Linked DNA regions of Diceros bicornis minor. The protein of the gene in region 1 purifies or fractionates together with the protein of each later gene. This does not show direct contact. Links are inferred from orthologs where the notes say so. Each region holds a gene or a part of one and is shown on either strand. Other genes may lie near its edges.

The links.
Region 2: the proteins of RAB24 (region 1) and GDI2 purify together in Homo sapiens (affinity purification with mass spectrometry; 3 studies listed by BioGRID and IntAct, with this or other methods). This does not show direct contact. The link is inferred for Diceros bicornis minor from reciprocal best matches to the Homo sapiens genes RAB24 and GDI2.
Region 3: the proteins of RAB24 (region 1) and GDI1 purify together in Homo sapiens (affinity purification with mass spectrometry; 3 studies listed by BioGRID and IntAct, counting the BioPlex papers as one, with this or other methods). This does not show direct contact. The link is inferred for Diceros bicornis minor from reciprocal best matches to the Homo sapiens genes RAB24 and GDI1.

Annotation. Positions count from the first base shown.
Region 1 is NC_080740.1:90,513,805-90,520,761, forward strand, and holds the start of RAB24 (ras-related protein Rab-24), read right to left. Parts: upstream 3,001-6,957; 5' UTR 2,625-3,000; coding exon 2,508-2,624; intron 2,426-2,507; coding exon 2,357-2,425; intron 2,166-2,356; coding exon 2,087-2,165; intron 1,972-2,086; coding exon 1,904-1,971; intron 1,821-1,903; coding exon 1,721-1,820; intron 1,498-1,720; coding exon 1,447-1,497; intron 1,309-1,446; coding exon 1,246-1,308; intron 1,126-1,245; coding exon 1,061-1,125; 3' UTR 1-1,060. Other genes in the region: PRELID1 (PRELI domain-containing protein 1, mitochondrial), read left to right, coding at 3,256-3,347, 3,938-4,163, 5,425-5,538, 5,643-5,721, 5,953-6,101.
Region 2 is NC_080775.1:7,008,199-7,015,643, forward strand, and holds the start of GDI2 (rab GDP dissociation inhibitor beta), read right to left. Parts: upstream 3,005-7,445; 5' UTR 2,791-3,004; coding exon 2,746-2,790; intron 1-2,745. UniProt on the Homo sapiens protein: GDP-dissociation inhibitor preventing the GDP to GTP exchange of most Rab proteins. By keeping these small GTPases in their inactive GDP-bound form regulates intracellular membrane trafficking.
Region 3 is NC_080781.1:138,372,510-138,379,842, forward strand, and holds the start of GDI1 (rab GDP dissociation inhibitor alpha), read left to right. Parts: upstream 1-4,329; 5' UTR 4,330-4,507; coding exon 4,508-4,552; intron 4,553-5,750; coding exon 5,751-5,858; intron 5,859-6,001; coding exon 6,002-6,101; intron 6,102-6,244; coding exon 6,245-6,379; intron 6,380-6,854; coding exon 6,855-7,053; intron 7,054-7,320; coding exon 7,321-7,333. Other genes in the region: ATP6AP1 (V-type proton ATPase subunit S1), read left to right, coding at 111-151, 501-557, 914-999, 1,444-1,682, 2,294-2,341, 2,427-2,658, 2,927-3,136. UniProt on the Homo sapiens protein: Regulates the GDP/GTP exchange reaction of most Rab proteins by inhibiting the dissociation of GDP from them, and the subsequent binding of GTP to them. Promotes the dissociation of GDP-bound Rab proteins from the membrane and inhibits their activation.

The sequences.
Region 1 (6,957 bases):
GCTTCAGCCCTGTCTACAGTAACACCAGATCCTTCAGAAATATCTGGATCTCCAAGGTCCAAAAATACACTTTGGGGGAAACTTGGGAGTCTGCCTTCTCTTCTGAACTAGTCCTGAACTTCCTGCCCCTTGGGCAAAAAGCTCTCCAGGGAAGAGTGAGGGAAGACAAACATTTAGTCCTAGAGTTACTTTTCACTCTTGATCTTCACAGTCCTGAACTGGGTAGTGCTCACCTCATTTTACAGAAGAGAAACTCAGGCTGAGTTCAAGTCCCTTTTCTAAGTTAGTAGCTGAACTGGATCCCAGTCTGGATCCCTAAGACCTTTCTGTCTTGCAGAACCTATGATTTTTCTACTGTTGAACCACTTTGTAGGATGTTGCTGGTAAGCTTAGGATCTGAGCCATAGGCATAACTCACAGACCTAGACATGACAGAGATGTGGTAGAGCCAGCCAGTCTGAGGTGGAAGTGCTTGACCCTTTGATCTCTAGACACCATTTAGTGCTTGCTTTGCTCTTCTCAGCACCAGGAACAAACTGAACTTTCCACTGCCCAATCTCTCACCCTATCTTTGCCCCCACTAAAGAATAGGAAAGGGCCCTTTTGTTTCTCCATTATCTCAGTCGCAACCCTGGTGTGAAGTTACTTGGTTTCCAAAGGAAAATAAGAGCTGAGAGGAGCCTTAATATAGGAAATGAGGCCAGCCAGGTGGCCCCAGAAAGAACTAGGTTGTTGACACCCAGTCCACACAGCAGGGAAAGGGGTGAGTGTGATTCACAGTGCATTGATTTTATTTACAAATCAGAAGCCACTTAAGTAATCTGCAGAGACAAGTGCTGTCCAGGGCAGAAGCCTGAGGTCCAAATCAGCCCTTACCCTCATGCCCATCAGTCAGCCCAATGCTGCCTCTGTTCCATGGGCCAGCACAGGTAGGTGCCACCTCTGCTGCCATGGGGACCTGGGGTAGCTCAAACGCTTGACCACCCAGGCCCGGACAAGAGCTAGGTCCAGCCCCTCTGGAGGAATTCCTTTAATTCCCCCAGGCCAGATGAGTGATGACTCAGTGATGACAACAGCTGTAGAAATAGGGGTTTGTCTTCTGGCCCAGGTCCACGCCCTTGTCCTCTGTCAGAGAGAGAGATGGCAGCTCAGCACCGTTCTGCGGGGGGATCGGGTAACTCCGTGAACGGGGCCAGATGCCGTGGGCCTGGAGGAAGTCTCCAAAGAGGCTAGGGAAGCACACACCTGTCATCACCTGGAAAGCAGCTACGCTGACGTAATCCTCTGCCACTTTCTGGAAGAGCTCGTCTGGCAGGAAAAAGGACGGTCAGTGAGGGCCCAATCCCAGTAGCCCTGGGATCACCCAGTGACCTAGCTCTCTAGGTTCTTCCCTGCCTCCTCTGGTGCCCTGCCTGTTCCTGCTGTGAGGCCCAAGACAGCACTCACCCACACTCTGGCCTGTCTTGCTGGATGTTTCAAAGAGCTGAGCTTTGATATCTGTAAAGAGAAGTGACTAAGGCCTCATATCTGACAATCAGGTGGACACAGACAAAGGGGAAGGGTAGCAGTTCAGGGAATCTTCTGGACCCCACAGGTCCAGGGAGGCCAGAAAGCCTTCCCAGGTGATCTTGCCATGGCAGCCAAGGCAGTCCCTATTTTCTGTGACCCACCCAAGCAGCCACTTCCCTCCCCCTCCCCCAGGGAGCTGAGGAGCAGCTACTGTCAGCATAGTCCTGGACATCATGGAAGTCCACACGTCGACGCCGCCTGTCCTCCTCTAGCAGGTCACTCTTGGTGCCACACAGGTAGATCTGACAGCCCTGAAGCAGAAGACAAGGTGGGTCACCCCCACAGACCACCAGCGCCCCAGCTCCTGGTCCTCTGGTGAGGTCTCGCTGCCTACCTCCTCTAGGTTGCGCAGTTCCTTCACCCAGAACTTTGCCCGCTCAAAGCTGCTGCTGTCCGTAAGGTCTTGGGAGGGGTATAGGACGCGCAAGAAACACAACCAAGAGTCAGGGGCTGTTCTCTAAGGCCAGCCTGGCACCCACCCCTTCTTGTTTGAGAAATAGGCCAGAACCCTCCTTACCATAGCAGACGATGGCAGCCTTGGCGCCCCTATAGTAGATTCGGCTCATGGCCTCGTAGCGCTCAGAGCCTGCTGTGTCCTGAAAGGCAGGGGGAGGCTCAGACCTGGCCTGAGTTCCTGAGCACTCCCCAGGTCCTCCACACCCCCATTTTTAAACTGGGGTCTAGAAGAGAAATGGCCTCTGTGAAGCCACAAGTCAGTCAGTAATAGGCAGGACCTAAGCCTCCTCAAGAATGGGGTCTCCCAGGACTACTTGCCCACGGGACTTACCCAAATACCCAAAGTCACCGTCCGGTCTCCGACGGACATCACCTTGGCCACGAAGGCGGCCCCGATGGTCTGCAACCAGAGCGAAGGGCTCAGGGCCGCGGTGTGAGCTGGCCCCCTCCCACCCGTGCCTGTTCCCGCGGGGCGCACTCACGTTCTGATAGGGCCCCACCAGGAAGCGGTCGTGCACGTATCGCTCCACCAGGCTCGTCTTGCCCACGTACTCCTTGCCCAGCATCACCACCTTGACGTCCACGCGCTGCCCGCTCATGCTCCCGGGGCCGCCTCACCCACCTCAGGGGCCTGAGCGGCGGCGGGAGGCAAACCCGAATCTCCGGTCGGGCAGGCGGCGCCCAAGCCTCAGTCCCTGACCCGGGGCGCCAACCTGCGACTCGAGATACCGCGTCGGGCTCGAGCCTTGGCAGCGCCCCCGTCTGCCCCCGCTCTTCGGTCCCGGGCGCTGCTCCTCCTTCGAAGGAAGAGCCCAGGACCCGGGGCGGCCTGGGAGCGCGCGGGGCAGCGCCCTCAACGGCGCCGCACGCCGCCGCCCGCTCGCCCGCCGGGTTAGGCGCTGTCCGGCACGAATTCCTCACCGAGCCCAGGGTCCCGCCGACCTGCCTCCGGCCTGCTGCGCCTGGACTCCCGCAGGGGGAGGAGTGAGGGGCGGGGCCACGAGGTCACGTGCACAGGCGCCGGAAGTGGTGGGTTCAGCGCTGCTGCGCCGGAAGTAGTGCGCGTCCCGACTGCTCCTCATGGCGGCGGTGGCTGGTTGGGCGCGGCGCAGTGGTGACTGAGCTGCGAGCCTGGCGGGCGTGCGCCGAGCCCCGGCCCGGCCTCCGCGTGCCCCCCGGGCTCCGCACCCCTGATGCTTCGCGGGTGTTGAGCCCGCCCCGGCTGGGACGATGGTGAAGTATTTCCTGGGCCAGAGCGTGCTCCGGAGTTCCTGGGACCAAGTGTTCGCTGCCTTTTGGCAGCGGTACCCGAATCCCTATAGGTACGTGGCCCTGGAGAGAGCAGCCCTCCCCCTCGCTGTTTGGAGTTCGAAGTGTGGGGCCAGGAAAGACTCGACATCGAGTCCGAGGTAGGGGATCGCCGGCACTGTGGCCGTCTGTAGGGCAAGAGGGACCCTATCCGGGAAGCGGCCGAGCCAGGCCTGCAAAGGTACTTGGAAGGAGGCTGGGCCTGGGCGGTGGTTTACTTGAGGCCCTAGTCTAAGGTTCTCTCATCTCTGGGTGGTGAGACTGGAAGAGCCGGCGGCACAGGAGTTGGGAGGGACCTTGGGGTTGGAAATCCTGGCGCTTGCCTAGTCCTCTGCCTGTGGCGCTCTCCGGTGGTGCAATAAATCATGAGGCCCAGCCCTGCTGGATGGCCCAGGAATCCAGGTCAGCGAGGGGGCAGGAGTTGGAATTTGCCCTAGGATAGGCTCAAGGGCTTCGAGTTCAGGTCTGAGCCACAGCACAGATCACTCTGCAAGTTTAGGGGAAGGCATGGCCATTTTGGGCTGGGGGGCTCCAGATGGGAACCCCAACAGGCCGTCTCTCAGGGGCAGGCTCCCGAGGGTCACCTTCACTCTGACACCTGCAGCAAACATGTCTTGACGGAAGACATAGTGCACCGGGAGGTGACCCCTGACCAGAAGCTCCTGTCCCGGCGACTCCTGACCAAGACCAACAGGATGCCCCGCTGGGCAGAGCGACTGTTTCCTGCCAATGTTGCTCACTCGGTGTACATCCTGGAGGATTCTATTGTGGACCCACAGAACCAGACCATGACCACCTTCACCTGGAACATCAACCACGCACGGCTGATGGTGAGACCCTCCTTGGTCCCCCCCAAAAGTAGAGAGCTCCAGTACATGTGGCTAGGGAGGCACGAGGGAGCTTCTATGGTCTGAGGCAGAGCTGGGTTACTGAGGAATGATGGCTCTAGAGTACAGATTCTAATGATCTTTTCAGCTGGCTACCCTCTCTTGACCTCTCTTTTAACCCATTTCATACAGTGGGCGGGGTACCTGTTTTACAGAGTTGTTGCGGGTAGTAAATGCAGGGCATTCACACTGTTCCTGGCACATGTATAGGTTGGGCCTACAGGAGTGATGCTGAGAAAGGGAGGCAGTGGTTTTCAACCAGCAGTCCACCAAGCCATAAGGGTGCCTTGGATGTGCCTGAGAGTGAGAGAGGACCTGGGGCCCTTGCCTCACGTTGGCTAGAGAAGTTGCACTTTTATCTGTCTTATATAATGGGTTTTATATAATGGGTTTTTTCCTGAGAATTTGGGGAAAAGAGGTTCCACATACCTTTGATCTCTTGCCTTTCAAAAAACTTGAAAGCCTACAGTTCAAAGAACATTCTACAGTATCTTCTCACATGTGAATACCCTGAAAGCTTTCAGAGAATGCTCATTCTCTTTTTCAGCTAATCTGTTACTCCCTATTGTGCAAAGAAGGAAGTGAGCTTCAGAGAGGGGTAGTGTCCTATGAGGTCACAGAGTGAGTAGGCACGTTAATACTCTGCCCCAGAGTTATCTGAAGGCCTCCCAGCTGACTATCCTAAGGGCATTACCTCTGTTCTGTAAATTACCAAGATAGCCATCCAGTTGTGAGAATGTCTTTCAATCCAGCTATGAGACACGTTTTAAGTGTTTCTCTTGAAAGTAGTGGTTCACACTCCTCTCATAATGAGAGCTGTGAGGATTGCCAGATTTCCGTTTTTATTTGGACTGCCAGGGAGCTCAAGAGCTGCGATAGGTGGAAGGCAGGCTAACAACACTGCACATGTCTAGACATAACGGTACAAAACAAAATCCAGGGCCAGGGTGGAGCTGGAAGGCCCTCTGCCTTCCACGTGCCTTTTAGTTTGAAGGGTCAGAGGAGAGGTTTTAGAGAACAAAATGACCTATTTTATGTTCTTACTCTTTTCCTGAAACGCAGCTTGGGGATGCAATAAGGGAAAGGAATGGATTTTCATTTTTTTGCTTTCTCTCGTGAAAAGAGACAGGGGATCAAATTTATATGCAAGTTGGCAAAGTGAAAGACTGCCACATGATTGTGGTTGGCCCGACTCCCTGCACAGGTGGTGGAGGAACGATGTGTTTACTGTGTGAACTCTGATAACAGTGGCTGGACCGAAATCCGCCGGGAAGCCTGGGTCTCCTCTGGCTTATTTGGCGTCTCCAGAGCTGTCCAGGTGAGCAGCGTTGTGGGGGTGCTGGGGCTCTGGCATTTGGCAGAGAGGCTGGGCTGGGGGTCAGTGGGCAGCTCTGAATCCTTTCCCTTCCCACATTTTGCCAGGAATTTGGTCTTGCCCGGTTCAAAAGCAACGTGACCAAGACTATGAAAGGTTTTGAATACATCTTGGCCAAGCTGCAAGGTGAGTTCTCTGGGCACAGGCAGAGGCTGGGGTCAAGTCCTAGCTGCCCTGACTGGTGTGGAGCGTGGGGCTGTCACTACCAACTCTTAAGCCTGGGGTGCCTCATCTGTACCTTGGGGCAAACACTGCCTTTCCAGTGGGGCCCGGCCCACAGGAGGTAAATGTCGCGGGGGGTGACTAGGTGGGTCTTTGTGGCGTCCTCTGAAGCCAGCCCCTTGCCCTTTGCTGCAGGTGAGGCTCCTTCCAAATCTCTTGTTGAGACAGCCAAGGAAGCCAAGGAGAAGGCAAAGGAGACAGCACTGGCAGCTACAGAGAAGGCCAAGGACCTTGCCAGCAAGGCAGCCACCAAGAAGCAGCAGCAGCAACAGCAATTCGTGTAGGCAGCCCAGGCCCTGGGGCGGCGGCCCATCAGACTACCAGGCTCAGGTCCCTCTGCTCTCTCCCCTCGTACTTGATGATTAAAAGGCAACTTCCAGCTCTCTCTACTGTCTGGGTGGTGGGCTGGGGATGGGGTATCCTGTTAGGCATCTACAGTGCACCAGGCACATTATCCATATCTGAGCCGGGCCTGCTCATTCTCACGTTGGGCAGCTGAGGACAGAGGCACAGAGAGGTGCAGTGACCTGCTCAGGGTCACAGACAGCATGTGGGTTACGTGGTCATAAATGCTAGACTGTACGCTCCACGAGAGCAAGACCTGTGTTTTGTTCTCTGCTGTGTCTAGGTACTGGAACAAGATCTAGCACATAACAGGCACTGAATAAATATCTGTTGAGTTCAGTTAGCCCAGCTCTGAAGTCAGAAAGCTTTGGTTCGAATCTTGACTCCACTGTTTCCTGGCTTTGGACCTTAGGCTAGTCACATCACTCAGCCTCAGTGCCCCTGCAAAGTGGGGACAGACGGCCTCCCAAGCTGTGGGGATTAAAGGGGCCCCACCTGTCACGGTCAACAGTATTAGTGGTGGCTATTGATTGCACTTCCTCTTTTCCAGTTTGTCTGTGGCTGGGAGTTTCCCCATTTTCATCAGGCAAAACCATGGACAGGAAGTTAAGAAAGAGGCTTTTAATGAAAATACTGTACAGTATCTGTGGGGCAAAGGCCAGTGGCCCTTGTCTAGGAAGGAATGTGAAGGCCCAAGAGGCTTCCTGCCCCCATGGGGACGGCAGAGCCAAGTGCTACAAAAGACGCCTAGAAGGGCAGTGCAGGCCCAAGCTGCCTGCCCTGCAGGGCTCAGGG
Region 2 (7,445 bases), on another chromosome or scaffold:
ATAGCATACGCCTGTTTTCAGGTTCTTAAATCTCAGGCACTATATATTTATAAACCAAAAACTAAGAAAATTAGGGGCCAGCAGGGTGGTGCAAGCAGTTAAGTGCGCGCGCTCCGCTGCGGCGGCCCAGGGTTCACAGGTTCGGATCCCAGGCGCGCACCCATGCACCACTTGGCAAGCCATGCTGTGGCGGTGTCCCATATAAAGTGGAGGAAGATGGGCATGGATGTTAGCCCAGGGCCAGTCTTCCTCAGCAAAAAGAGGAGGATTGGCAGACGTTAGCCCAGGGCGGATCTTCCTCATAAAAAAAAAAAAAAAAAAAAAACTAGGAAAATTAAATATGTTCACTCTAAATACTCAAAGTTAATTCTAACTTGAGGGTTTTAAACTTTGGTGGTCTCTTCATTTAACTTTAAGTAATCAAAGTCCTTGTGTCACTAAAAATGAGGGTACAAGATTCATCATTATCAAAATCATCCCGTCACCACTATTCCTATCAATGATGGTAATAATGTGATTGCTCTGAATTGATATAATTCTCAAAAAATATGTCACAAAACAATCTATGAAGGCTCATAGGTATTAAAGTTATCACAGCTATAATATGATAGCAAAAATTGGTCTGATTTCTAGTTAGGTATGCGTCTACCACTCACCAAAAATCCAAATGAATCCAATTAATTAATCCTAATGAAAATTTAAATAAAGTGCATTATCTGAACTTGGTTGTTATACAAGACTGTGCTGTCTTTGCTACAATGTGATGCTTCTGAACTAGGCAGGTAGAAACCTGCGTGATGATGGATTTGCACTCATTTGTCCACGCTCAACTGACCTAACCAAGAGCAAATCTGAAAGACCAGCACTAACCGTAGAAAAACAGTGGAACTCACTGGCTCTTACAACATGCGGGCAGCAACAGTGCCCATTCCAGTGAGCAAAATCCATCACAAACTAAGCTCAGCTCAGAATCCCAATTAGGCATTTTAAAAACTAAAAAGACAACCCTGCAGTGGGTAGGCCAATTCATTTAGGCATCCAACAGTCTTCCAAATCACCACCAAAAAGGAAATTCAACCCAATATCTCACATTCAAAATGACTAAATAGCTTTCTAGGTAAGTAATCTCATCTATTTGGTACTATTTCCTAGGCAGGCACATGTCTATCTCTGGACCGGTCAAATATAATGAAGCATTCAGAAATGAGTATTCTCCAACAATCACCATAAATCACTATAAACAGAAAAATGACAGGCCAGAAAAGTGCCATTCTAGTTCCTAACAACCTTTTCCTAAAAAATTAGCCAAATTAAAGTTAAAACGTTTTCTCTTGTCTAGAGAAATCTAAAATAGTTATTTTGGAGTGTTACCTGAAAAAAATATTAATTTGATCCTGAGAGATTACAGTGCATTTCAACAACCCTGAAGCAGCGATTTACATTAAATGACCCAGAACTTTGGGATCAGATTATACAGGATACACAATATTTACATCAGCGTTCATCTTAAGACAAAGCAGCCCAAAGTCAGAATTTCAAATTTCCAAAAAATTCTAATAATGAAAATGGTCTTCTCTTCAAATGGAATCCTTTTGCAAGATGAATAGTATTCATTTTCTTAAAAAAGGACAAAAAGAAGTACTACAAGATACAACACCTGCCTGCATTATTTGCAGATTATCTAAAGGTCTCTAGACAGACAGATACCCAGGAAATTAAGTTTGCCATGGTATTAGCAACACCTTGCATTCACATGACAACTGCATTTTTTATGTTGGTACTGATTGATCTCCTAACTCCCTGAAGAGGATAGTAGTGGAGAACTTGGCCTCTGGCAATCCATCACCAACCCATGTCTTAAGGGAAAGCATCCAGAAGAGACAATGGAGTCAGGGAACAGACCAAACAAAAGGAAAACGTGGCAAAAGTCAGGTGAGAAAGGGTTTGATAGACAAGTTTTGAGAAAACTCATTTCCAATTCTACAGATGCTCCGTTAAGTGGGATAGGAGGGTGGTTACAAGGAATGGACAATGCTTCTCAACTGGAGTGGGGATAGGAAAACTACTTTTCTCCAAAAACTTAAGTTAACTGAACTCTGACAATTACAAAACAGTGATTATCCAAAGACTTGTCACAAAGCCTTGCGCCTCGTTCTGGCAGCCAGAGCTGAGTGGTAGTAGTGGCTGCAGGCTAAGCAGGAAATGCAACTGTGAGTGGCTTCCACCCTCCCCCACTCTGCCTGGCGCTTTTCCGTTTCCAATCCGGAGAGGCCATCCACCCGTGAGGGAGGTGGAGGGGCATCAACACCCCGATCCGGGCTTCTACGGTGCCTTCTGCAGCACAGCGACACTCCGCTGTTCCCCCCACCTGTATTTCGCCGTGACCACCCATCAGGGCACCCACGGGACCGCGTCTTCCATCTCCTGGCGCCCCCTTCCGCACTCAGAGACGACCCACTCCACCGGCCGACCCGCCCCTGCGCGGCCGCGAGCCCCCGCGCAGGCCCACTCCAGCTCCCGACCCCCGCGAAGTTCAGCCCCCGAAACCTCGACGGAGGACGCCCCCCGCGGCCAGGCCGAGGCTCGGGGCCGACGCGCGCAGGCCGTTCCGCGCGGTCTGGCGGGGTGGGCCTCGCCTCCCGCGGCGGGAGCGACGGGGCTGGGGAGGGGGCTGAGCCCCGGCCTCCCGCCCCCCGGCCCCCGGCCCGCCCCCGGCCCCCGGCCGCGCCGCCGCGCGGAGCTCACCGTCAGGCCGGTGCCCAGCACGATCACGTCGTACTCCTCATTCATGGCGGGGCAGGGCGAGGACGGGAGCGCAGAGGCGGCGCAGGATTCTAGGGGCAGGGGTTATGCGGCCACCCTGGCGGGGCGGGGAAGCGCTCCGGCGGCCTCGGGCCGAGGAAGAGGGCAGCCGGGAGGAGAGGTATACGGAGCTGGAGAGGACGGAGGCCGGCCGCCACCTCAGACGGGAAGAGAAGAGCGGGGCACGGAGGGGAGGGAAGGTGGGGAGGGGAGGGAGAGCGGGCGGCGACCCGGGCCTCCGCAGCCGGGGCGGGGCCTAGAGGAGGCGCTGGAGGGCCGTCGATCACGCCCTTCCCGCGCTCTCATTGGCTACGTCCCGTCGCCCGCCCAACCTTCTTCCGTTCCCACCTCTCGCGAGAAAAGGGCAGGATGCCTGCCGGTGGATTCCGGTTCCCCGCCCGGCCTCCTGCCACCGTGGTGGGAGGCGGAGGCGGTCGTGTGCGGACCCTGGAGGGCCGGAGGGGGCGTGCCCTCGGCCGGAGAGCGGCTGTCCGGTTCGTTAGTGCCGCCGCCGTGCAGGAGCCGGGGCGCGCCCCAGGCCCGCGCCCTGCCGCTGCCCTTGGACTTTGAGCCTGCGGCGGCCACGTGCGCCGGAACCGGCCGCGCGGGGTTCTAGGCGGGCGCGGGGAAGGCGGGCGGCCGCCCCGGGTTCCGCCCGCCGGGCTGGAGCCCACGTCCGGCGGCCCGACTCCCGCTGCGGCCCACGGCGGGCTCAGACCCCCCGGCGCTCCTGCGGCGCCTGGTCTCGTTTGCAACTTGTTTTGTTCTTTCTGTCCTGCCTCCCTTTTCCGAAGGAAAAAGGACCCAGCGTATTTTAAGGAGTTCAGAAATCACATACGTTTTATCTCACTTCCCGCCCTGTGTCATTCTTGCTTGTGCGTTGCCCCATGTGCACCCTTAGGAAATTCAGAAGAAAAAAAAAAACTTCCTTTTTAAAAGTAACCCTTAGAAAAAATTAAAAAAAAATAAAAGTAACCCTTGGTATAAAGAAAGGGGAAGGCCAGATTGGATTTGCAAGCAGGTCTGCGCCTACTGCGAGCTGTCACTTAGACCAGCTATAGAACTAGTATACGAATAGGTTTAGGCCATGCGTGTAGAAGAACCTTGGCCTTCCATCCCCTCTACCCCTACTTCCATCCCGCCACACACACCTTTTTTTTAGGATTCTCATTGGAATCTCCAGCTTTGGGTGAAGAGACAGGGGTAAGCAGAGGCTTGTGTTCTCACAGCAGACCCTATAGCGAGGCCTTCTAGACAAGCGATCTTCCTAAAGGCGTTGACAACCTGTATTTTCACCCTGAGATAGGTCTGCATAATCAGCCAACAAAAGAGTCGGTATTTCCTTCAAGCTTTACTTTCAAATATAGCTGGATAAGAGCTATTCAAAGTGAATCTTGGTAGACAGAACTTCCTTCATATTTAAATCATTCAGATTCAGGAAAGAATGAGAAAACATTTTTTGCAACGTTTCTTTGCCCCATAAAGAGAGTTTAAGAAAGTATGTTATATTGGAGAATAGACCTTTTTGAGGGGGAGGGAGAAGAAAGCAGTTTAAATTTACATACAGCCTTAATTGGATTTATATATATTAGTGACCAAAAGCATTTTTATAAGTAGACAAAAATCAAGAGCAAAGTTGACTACACTACTGAACAAATTATATAACAGTGGTGTAACTGAATTTTTGGTTGGCTAAACAGATGATGCCTTAAGGTCCTGCTCTTCCTCTCCAGGTAATCAGGAGTCACTCCATATATGCTTATAAACAATTATTTCTCACGGATCTGGAGGCTAGAGGTACAAGATCAAGGTGTGTCTGGTGAGGGCCCACTTCCTGTTTCTCATTGTCTTTTCATTGTGGGGCAAGGGATCTCTCTGGGGCTGCTTTTACAGGTTACCTATATATTTGAACTGACATGAAACACTGACCCTTTTTAAAAAAAATCAGTAATAACAATAAAGAGCCTTTTTCTCTTATTGTCATCAGCATCTGAATGTTGAAGAGGCTTTTAAGCCTATCAGCTGATTTATGTTACTATGTTTTAAGTGAAGGATATTTCATCAATATTCAGATAGAGTTACTGAGAAACTTAAAGGCATTGGATAAGGGAACTGAATTTAAGGCTAATAAGGCTCCTCAGTCTGATCCCTTACACTGAAATTTAGTTTTGTTGGCAGTACAAGTCCCATGGCCCAGCAGAAGGACCAAAAAAAACCTAAAAAACCAACTGGAGTAATCTTCAACAGGGTGAGTCCAAGCAAAATTGTGTCAGCTCTTGGATCTTCCACCCCACCTATTCCAGTTGCCAAGGAACTTGGTAGACAACAAATACTGTTTGTGGTGACCTGGCTTGAAAGCCACCAATTGGTTCAGTGTATCAAAGGCCACAGATGCCAGTTCTGATAGAGTGAAACAGGTTTGGAGGAAGTAGGTGGTTGGTGTAGAGGAGCGGAAAACACCATGAATCTTGAAAATATTTCAAATCCTTCTATAAAGCAAGAGTCCAGTGGGAGTCTTATTATACCTGGGCACTTGGGAATAACTGTTTGCTGATCTGTTTCTACTAAGCCTCCACCTGCACTTTACAAAGGAAGAACCTGAGTCCAAGGAAAAGAAATTTAGAGAGAACCTTAGCCCAGGCCACTTCCTCTGTCCCGAACCACTGCAACAGCTTCTCAACCCGTGTTCCCCCTCCTGTCTGTTCTGACCATTGTCTTCTTAAAATGTGAATCAGATCATGTTCATGCTTCCACCTCTTTTGCATTTAGAATAAAATGCAAATCTTTTAATATGGCCTAAAAAGTATGGTTTAATCTAGCCTCTCATCTGTCTCCCACTTCATCTTGCTTCTTGCTCGCTGCACTCCAAACACACTAGTCTTTCAGTTCCTAGAATCTGGTCAAGCTCTTAACCACCCAAGGGCCTCTTGTTGGTCCCATAGCCATCAGTCAACCTCACTTCCCCTCCTGCACTTCTTCTCACGGCTAGTTCTTTCCACTTCCTTAGTTTCAGCTAAAAAATCTTCCCTGACTAGCTCATCTAAAGTAGGTTCCTCTCAACCTTTATTCTCTATCAGCACGCCGCCTATTACTTTTTTTTTCATTGCTTTTTATCAAATTGGTAATTATTTTCTTTACTTGTTTTTTGTCTGCCTGCCAATCAGAGAGTAAACTCCATGAGGGCAGGGATATTATCTGTCGTGTGCACAGCTGTGCCCCTAACACCCAGAGCAGTGCTGAGCGCCTGCCAGATGGCGAGTAGATACTTGATGAATGAATGAGAGACCTGGAAGTTGATGCCTCAATCAACAAGGACTAAATGTGATAAAATAGGTACTAGTTCCTCTTGATACTTTTGAGAAGTGCAGCTTTACTTATAGCGGGAGATACTACAATTATATTTTAGAGGGTCTTCAAGATAGGGATCTATAAAATATAAACCTTTTTAAAACCTAGATAGCTAATGCTGAAGATAAAACATAATAGGATATCTAGAAAAAATTTAATGAATTTCCAAAAATACATATTTCCCTAGTTTATGATAGATCATTTACCCACCCCCCCACCCCCCCCCCAGTGTTCATCTGCTCCCAGTCCCCATCTCAGCAGTGACTGGCTCCACCCCGGGCCCAACCAGAATTCTAGATATCATCCTTGATTCTGCCTTCCTTCTCTCCTTCCACGTCTATTCCTGTTTTCTTTTGCTGTGTAACAAACAACCCTAGAACTTAGTGGCTTAAAAAAAAAACAACAACAAAACCTAGCGGCTTAAAACAACAATGTATTATTACCTCTTATGGTTCTGTGGGTTGAAGGGGCTCAGATGCGTGGGAATTACTTGGGTCTGTGACACAGCTGTAATCAGTGGCTGGGGTCATCTGAAGGCTGACCTGGACTGGACATCCAAGATGGTGCACTCACATGGCTAACAGCCGATGCTGGCTGTCGGCGGGCAGCTTAGCAGGGGTTGTCAGCCAGAGCAGCTATGTATGTGTGGCCTCTCCATGTGGCTTGCAGTTCTCAAAGTATCGTAGCTGTATTCCAAGAGCACAAGTTCCAAGAAACAAGAAATGGAAGCCGCAGGTCTCTTAATGTCTGGGCCCAGAAACTGGAACAGTGTCCCTTTTGCCATATCCTATTTGTCAAAGCAGTTACAGAGCACACCCAAATGCAAAAGGAGGAGCTCTCAGGCAGGACCTGCCTGTCAACAGGAAGAGTGTCAGTGAATTTGTAGCCATCCTTGATCTGCCATAACACTCCATTACATTCTAGCCTTTCCACCTCATAAAACTCCTTCCACTCCCTTCTCTTCAACCTCACTGCCACCACCCTAGTGTAGACAACCATTGGATTCTCTCCCAGATAATTGCAGAAGCTTCCTCATGGGACACTTGGCCTTCAGTTTAGCGATCTCAAACCTGTTCTCTGTATTACAGCCCAAGTGATCTTCATACAAATCAAAAGAGTGGGCCGGCCCAGTGGCATAGTGGTTAAGTTCACATGCTCCACTTCGGCAGCCAGGAGTTCACGGGTTTGGATTCCGGCCGCAGACCTACAGCACTCATCAAGCCATGCTGTGGCGGCATCCCACATACAAAATAGAGGAGGATGGGCACAGATGTTAGCTCAGGGACAATCTTCCA
Region 3 (7,333 bases), on another chromosome or scaffold:
CCCATGCTAGAGTGTGCCTGGTGAGTGGGGCTGGTGGGAAAGGATGGCAGCCTGGGGTGGGGGACAGCTGTTTGGGTTGCAGGGGCTCAACCGCTCTGTGTCTTCCATAGCTCAGGTCTGATGGCGCCGAGGGAGGTCCTCACAGGCAATGGTGAGTGAGGTCAGGGAGGGTGCACATTTTCTGTCCTCCTCCAGCCCTGGGCCCCAGAAAGCTGGTCTGCAGCTCCTCAGCCCCTCCTCACTCCCAGGGCAGTCCCCCTGCTTCGGAGCACCTGGCAGCTGAGTAGGGAAATGCTGGCCCCCAGACCTCACCCTTCTCCAGCTGGGCCCTGCCTGGCAGAGGAGTCAAGACATCTAGGGGCCTCCATGCCACTTTCCACTCAGGCAGCGTGAATCCTAGAGTTTCTATAAAGGACAGTCACCCCCATGGAAATGTCTTGTGAACCTTCCACAGGTGGATTTGGAGTTTTCTCTATCTCTATTTTGTTCCACTTAATTAGGGCTTGGCATCAGGGAGTCGACGACTGAGGCCACAGATGTCCAGGAGGAGGCTGGGGGTAGGTGGGATAAGAAGCAGCTACTGTTAGGGATCCTCACTGGAAACTGAAAACACTAGTGAAGGTTGATGGGAGCTGGCTCTGCAAGGGTCTCAGTGTCCCACCATAGAGGACATGCCAGTTGCCAGAGGTGGGGGGACTTCACAGTGCAGATGCCTGGTGGTCCCCACCTCAACGAGGTGATCTCACTGAACGCCATCAAGAGGGGGCACTGATGTGACGTGTGGAAGGGCACGGCCTTGCCTCTGCTGGCTTCTGCTGTGCAACAATGGTCAGATGGGTTCTAACAGGCGTGGGGAGCATTGCTGTAAGTGCCGCCCGTGACCTGGTTCTCTGCTCTCCCCGTTGTCCCTCAGATGAGGTCATTGGGCAGGTACTGAGCATGCTCAAGTCCGAAGATGTCCCATACACAGCAGCCCTCACAGCACTCCGCCCTTCCAGGGTATGTGCCTCTCCTCAGGGGCTCTGGGAGGTGTGGGCAGAGGCCGCGTGGTGAGTTGGCCTGGAGGGGGGATGACTTCAAGCAGAGTGTGGAGCGCATTGGGGAGGCCAGATTCTCCCCTGGGCCAATATGGGGGGAATGGGGGTGAACAGTAAAGTCCTCCTTCCTTCTTCTAGGCAGCAGGTTTCTGTTTTGCCCTGTCAGTCTTACGGGCTGGCATACGTAGGCAACAGTCCAAGTATTCCTAAGTTTGAGGGACTAGGATTCTCACAAAAGCTTAGGGGCCAGCAGGGGAAAGCTTCCTGGAGGAAAGGCCTCCAAATATGACCCTTGGGACTGCAGATGGTGGAGAGGGTGCCCAGTGGAGACAGTGAGGGCAGACCCACTTGGTCTGGGGCCTGCTCCCAGGGCTGTTGAGAGAAGGCTTGTGGACTGTTTCTGCAGGTGGCCCGCGATGTAGCCATGGTGGCTGGTGGGCTAGGTCGCCAGCTGTTGCAAAAACAGCCAGCATCGTCTGTGATCCATCCTCCTGTGAGTTACAATGACACCGCCCCCCGGATCCTGTTCTGGGCCCAAAACTTCTCGGTGGCATACGGGGACCACTGGGAGGACCTGACCTCCCTCACGTTTGGGGTCCAGGAGCTCAACCTGACCGGCTCCTTCTGGAATGATTCCGTTGCCAAGTAAGGGCAAAGTACCTGCCACTGCAGGGGTGGGGGGTGTGTTGGGGGGCATGTTCACTGTGGGGATGTAGGTGGTATCATGGGATGGGGCTGATGGAGGGCTCTTGGAGTGGGGCATGCTCAGATTTCTGCCTCCCAGTGCCCTCTAGTCCTTGACTGGGACCTTAGTTGTTAACACTTCCCAGTCACCTGGGAACCTGACGCCTCCCCCTTGAGCAACATCAAGGCGACTGCACAAGGGCGTGTACCAGGCCTAAACCAGCTCTGGGGCTCCTGTATCCTTCCTGTGTGATAAGAGAGACTGCCCTTACCCCCCACAGCCCAACCTGGGCACCTCAGTGACTCCAGGAGGGAGCTGAAAGGAGAGTCACTGGGCTCAAGGGAGCCCGAGGAAGGAGCCCTCAGCTGGAGGTGGGGGACGTGCATACTGGTTCCTGACTTAGAATGTGTCAGAGCCTGAGTTTTCCCATCTGTCAAGTGGGGTTGCTGTCTCTTCAGGTGGCTGTGAGACCCCAGGGCAGCTTAGGTAGGAGTAGATCTGAGGAATTTGCTCTGAGACATTCAAGGCCCTCCCAGAGCCTGACAACTTGCCTCTTACTCTGGTTCTGCAGGCTCTCGCTGACCTACGAACACCTCTTTGGTACCACAGTGACATTCAAGTGAGTCTGAGGGGTGGCTGAGGTGTGGGCGCGCTGGTGTGGCCCCAGCCTCCCCAGCTGCGTGACACCCCGTGGCCTCCCTCAGGTTTATTCTGGCTAACCGCTTCTACCCGGTGTCCGCCCGACACTGGTTTACCATGGAGCACCTTGAGATCCACAGCAACGGCTCCATTGTCTCCTTCAATGCCTCCCGGGTCACGGGGCCCAGCATCTACTCCTTCCACTGCGAGTATGTCAGCACTTGGAGCAAGAACGGCAATATCCTTGTGCCCCGCATGCAGCCCTCTCTCTGGCAAATCACGCTTCAGGACTTCCAGGTAGGGAGCGGGGAGCACCGAGGGACTGAGCCTCGAGTCCGCAATCCCAGGCTGGAGCTCACAGGATACTGGGAGAGGGGGGAGGGAACAGAGGCCTGAAGAGTCCCAGCATCCTTTGAGTTTGGGTTTGGGCTCAGGAATGTAGTTGAGAGTCCCATCCCCACGGTGCTCCCATCTCGTGAGATCTAGACTACCCACTCACTCGGGAATCCTGGCCCTTACTGGGCCTCCCTCTGTGTGGGGCTACATGGTTCTTTCTGTGCCCCAGATCCAGGCCTTCAGTGTGACAGGTGAGCAGTTCTCCTACGCCAGTGACTGTGCCGGCTTCTTCTCTCCTGGCATCTGGATGGGGCTGCTCACCTCCCTTTTCATGCTCTTCATCTTCACCTATGGCCTGCACATGATCCTCAGCCTCAAGACCATGGACCGCTTTGATGACCACAAGGGCCCCACCATCTCTTTGACCCAGATTGTGTGACCCTGTGCCCATGGGGGGTTGAGGGCATGATGTGTCCAGGTTGTTGCTTTCCCACCCTGAGGCATGCTGGACTGAAGGGCTTCCCCTCTTCCTACTATAGTGTGAACCCACAGCTCCCCTCAGTCTGTCTTGCTCCCTGTTCAACTGAGGGGCTTTCCTGGGGCTGCCCACCCCCCATCTCTACCAAGAAGATGTATATATTCTGCATTGCTAGTAGAAAAATCTCCCAGGTTTGGGCATTGTGAGGGGAGGGGACCTGAGTTCTAGGGCCCCTCCTCCTCCCCCTTTCTCCTTATTTATTCTCATCTCTCTGCCTTCACCCCTTGCTGTTTATAGTGCTTTTGTGGCCAGTGCTCCCTCCCCACGCTTTATGGGGCTCCCTGCAGCAGCCAGGAGCTGGAGGTTCCCTAAGTTTGGGGGTGCTGAAGTACTATTTAGCTGTCTGTCCCACTTGGCTGGTGTTATTGTTTTTTGGTGATGTTGTGCTAACAATAAACAGTACACTGGGGTTTATTTCTGTGGCCTGATAAGGAAGGGTCTTCCACGGCAGGTGGGCTGGGTATGATCACTGGGTTTCTGGCATGTTGCCGCCAGGAGTGCCTGGCAGGAGCCTGGGGTACTCGGTGGTTTCCTTCCTAATAAAATAAAGACGGGTCGCCATGCGTGGGCCTCTTGTCACTCATTTCTGCACTGGGCACGAGGGATGAGCTTGGCTTAGGGCTGCGGGAGGAGGCGCCCGGATGTAGCTGTAGCTGAGCCAGGCCAAGGGGGAGGTGGGGAGGACTCGAAGTTCCCCTGTGGGCTGCTTCTCCCGGAGCCAGGGGAGACCTAGAGGGTCTTTAGCAAGCTGGGCCCCTCACCGGCTAGCGTAGGGAGAGTGCCGTGGCGCGGCGGCGATCAACGCCTGAGGGAGTCGGCCGCTACAAAGGCTGCCCTCACGTCCCGAAGGGGTCGCCCTCGGCTGCCGCAGCGGCGCGCGCCCAGCCCGCGGGAACGCGCCGAGCCTCCCGGGGGGCGGGCGGGGCGGGCGGGGCGCGCGCTGCTCCCGCGCACGGATCCCTCGCGGGCCGCAGAACTGGCCGCCGGCCCGCCCCGCCCCGCCCCGCCCGCCTCAGGGCCCTTGCCCATCGCCGCCGCCCGCGGAGCCGCGGTGGTGCTGGGTCCCGGGCTCCGGCAGCCCTCCTGGGAGGCGAGACGGAAAGGCAGCGGCCCCGGTCGGGCGCGGCAGGGCGCTGGGAGGGGCCGGACTCTTTGACGCGGCGGAGGGGTCCGACGGCGGCCGACGCGCCGCCATCTTTGGTCCAGTGCGGCGGCGGCGGCTGTGGTGAAGGAGGAGGAGGAGTCGACTTGCGCTGGCAGCGAGGCCTGACCATGGACGAGGAATACGATGTGATCGTGTTGGGGACCGGCCTGACCGTAAGTGCGGCCTCGGGCGCCTGGGGTCCCGCATCGCCCCCTCCTTCCCGCGGGGCTGCACCTCCCGGCCGCCGGCCCCATCCTCCCGTCACTGCCCACCGCGGCGCTGCCGCCCCCGGCGCTCGGGTCCCCAAAAAGACAGCCGGGTGTCCGACCCCCCGCGACGTCGCCTCTACCCATCGCCGTGGCCCGGTCTCCAACAAGCAGCCCTCTTCCTGGCCGCCCCCTCGACTCCCCGGGCCCCGACTCCCATCCCTCCCCACCTCCCCATTCTGGCCTGCCAGGCTGGAAGACGCACCCCCCCACTCGTCCCGATGTCCTCCGGTGCCTCCTGATCCCCTCGCCCCTCACCCTCGCTCTCCTAGCATCCGCTCCTATCTTGGCGCTAATCCTGGTATGAGGACCTCGGGTCGGAGGGCGTCGCCGGGGTGGGCCGTCATCTTCCCTCCCCGGCTTCTTATGGGGCCTGGGGACCCATAGAATGTTCTAGAAAGAGCATCAGTGGGGGCAGTGACCACATTCCCGCTACCTCACCCCGGTTTCCCTTGGAGATCTCAGGCTGAGTATTATCTGCAGCCTTTGTCCTTGGGCTAGTGACAGTGATGGGGGAGGGTGTTTATCTTCCCCCTTCCTCAAACCCCGTTTGACCCCCCCCCCCCCCCCCCCCGAGAGGCTCATCTCCCTCAGTCGGGGCACAGAAACCCCTCCCGTGGCCGAGAAGGCTCCTGCCCTTTGAGGAAAGAGCAGCCCAGGGTGGGGCCTGCGATCTCAAGACCGGGTGAGCGTTTCTTCACTTCCCTTTCGGGTACCATTCGCTGTGCAGCTGGGTCTCCTCCGTGGATCATTGTGTCCTCCTACCTGCCTTTCCGTGGGCATCTACGTAGATAGAGGACTTTCTTGGCATGTTAGTTGCCGGAGGACCATCTGTGTGTCTGCTGGACACTCTCTCTCCCTCAACGCCGCCAGTGTTTCTCTCCTCCTTGTTCGCTCAGCAAGGTTATAAAGGAGGCTGTGGTGAGATGAAGCCGTTGCCCCCAATTTTAGGCGAGGCGACCAGCCGGGGGTGGAAGGAGCTGTCCTTTGGGGTAGAGTCCTTCTGGCTTTGCTCTTCTCTCAGGTTTGGAGTGGGGAACAAATCAGAGCTGCTAGTGGGAATGTGGGTAGGTGGGAAATGCAGTGAATGTCACTCCTTCCCCAGGAATGCATCCTGTCGGGCATTATGTCCGTGAATGGGAAGAAGGTGCTGCACATGGACCGGAATCCCTACTATGGGGGCGAGAGCTCCTCCATCACACCCCTGGAGGAGGTGAGGCTGCCAGGGCCAGGCCTATCTCTCATTGATCTCTCACATAGGGTACCGAATCAGCTCCCCAGGTTCTTTGGGCTGGGGGCAGGGGCAGGGAGGGCTAGTCCTTGAGGTACCTCTCTTTCTCTCCTTTCTGCTTGCAGCTGTATAAGCGTTTTCAATTGCTGGACGGGCCCCCTGAGGCGATGGGCCGGGGCCGAGACTGGAATGTTGACCTGATCCCCAAATTCCTCATGGCCAATGGTGAGGGAGACGAAGGAGGTATTGTGGGGGGTGACTGAGACAACCAGAGGAGGGTCAGGTTCCAGAGAAAGGGCAGCCAGACCAGCTAGAACTTCTGGAAGGAGCCATGCTGATATTGTTGTCTTCTCCCTACTGCCCCACAGGGCAGCTGGTAAAGATGCTACTGTATACAGAGGTGACACGCTACCTGGACTTCAAAGTGGTGGAGGGCAGCTTCGTCTACAAGGGGGGCAAGATCTACAAAGTGCCGTCCACCGAGACTGAAGCCTTGGCTTCCAGTGAGTGCACGTCCCTTGAGCCAGAGAATCATGGGAGGGCAGCTGTCCAGAGCAGGGTGCCCCGTGCCCAAGGTCACATTCCCCATGCAGTACCAGAAGCCCCTTGCTCTGTCTTCTCTGCACCACCCCAGGCTGTGCCTCACACTTGTTGCCAGGAGGGGACTCCATACACAGAGGGGATGTGTGGGGGATCTCTTTCTTGAAAGACTTAAGCCTTTGACAGGGGCTCCACCTAACAGGTGAAACATCCCCACGTGTCAGAACCAGGAGGGCCCTCAGAGCCTGTTGAGCCATCCCTCTTCATACAGATAGGGAAACTGAGCTCAAGAAAGGCAGAGCAGTTAACGTAAGGTCACATGGTGGTCAGCAACAGAACTCAGCTGGGAGCTGGGGTGCCTGCTTTCTCGGCCTGCCTGGTGGGAAGGAGAGGTTCACTTTCTGTGGTGCAAATGCTCTCCTCACATTGCTTTCGCAGATCTGATGGGCATGTTTGAGAAACGGCGCTTCCGCAAGTTCCTGGTGTTTGTGGCAAACTTTGATGAGAATGACCCCAAGACCTTTGAGGGCGTTGACCCCCAGAGCACCAGCATGCGTGAAGTCTACCGGAAGTTTGACCTGGGCCAGGATGTCATCGACTTCACTGGCCATGCCCTGGCGCTCTACCGCACTGATGAGTGAGGGGAAGCTGGCATGGTGGACCACCCCTTGCCCAGCCTGCACCCTGCCCTCCCCGCTCCTGCTTGCTGCTGCCTCAGCCCACCCTGTACATCTCTTGTACTTGGTCATACAGTCACCTGTGGCCTCTCCCGTCCCTTCCCTGCTTTTGACCCATAGTCTTCCCCAGGTCATTGAGGGTGGTGGGAAGGATGGCTTGGGGCCTGGGTAGGGAGAAGCCAGGGGTGCTGCTATTGGAGCCTCTTCTCCTGAACCCGTCCCCCCAGCTACCTGGACCAG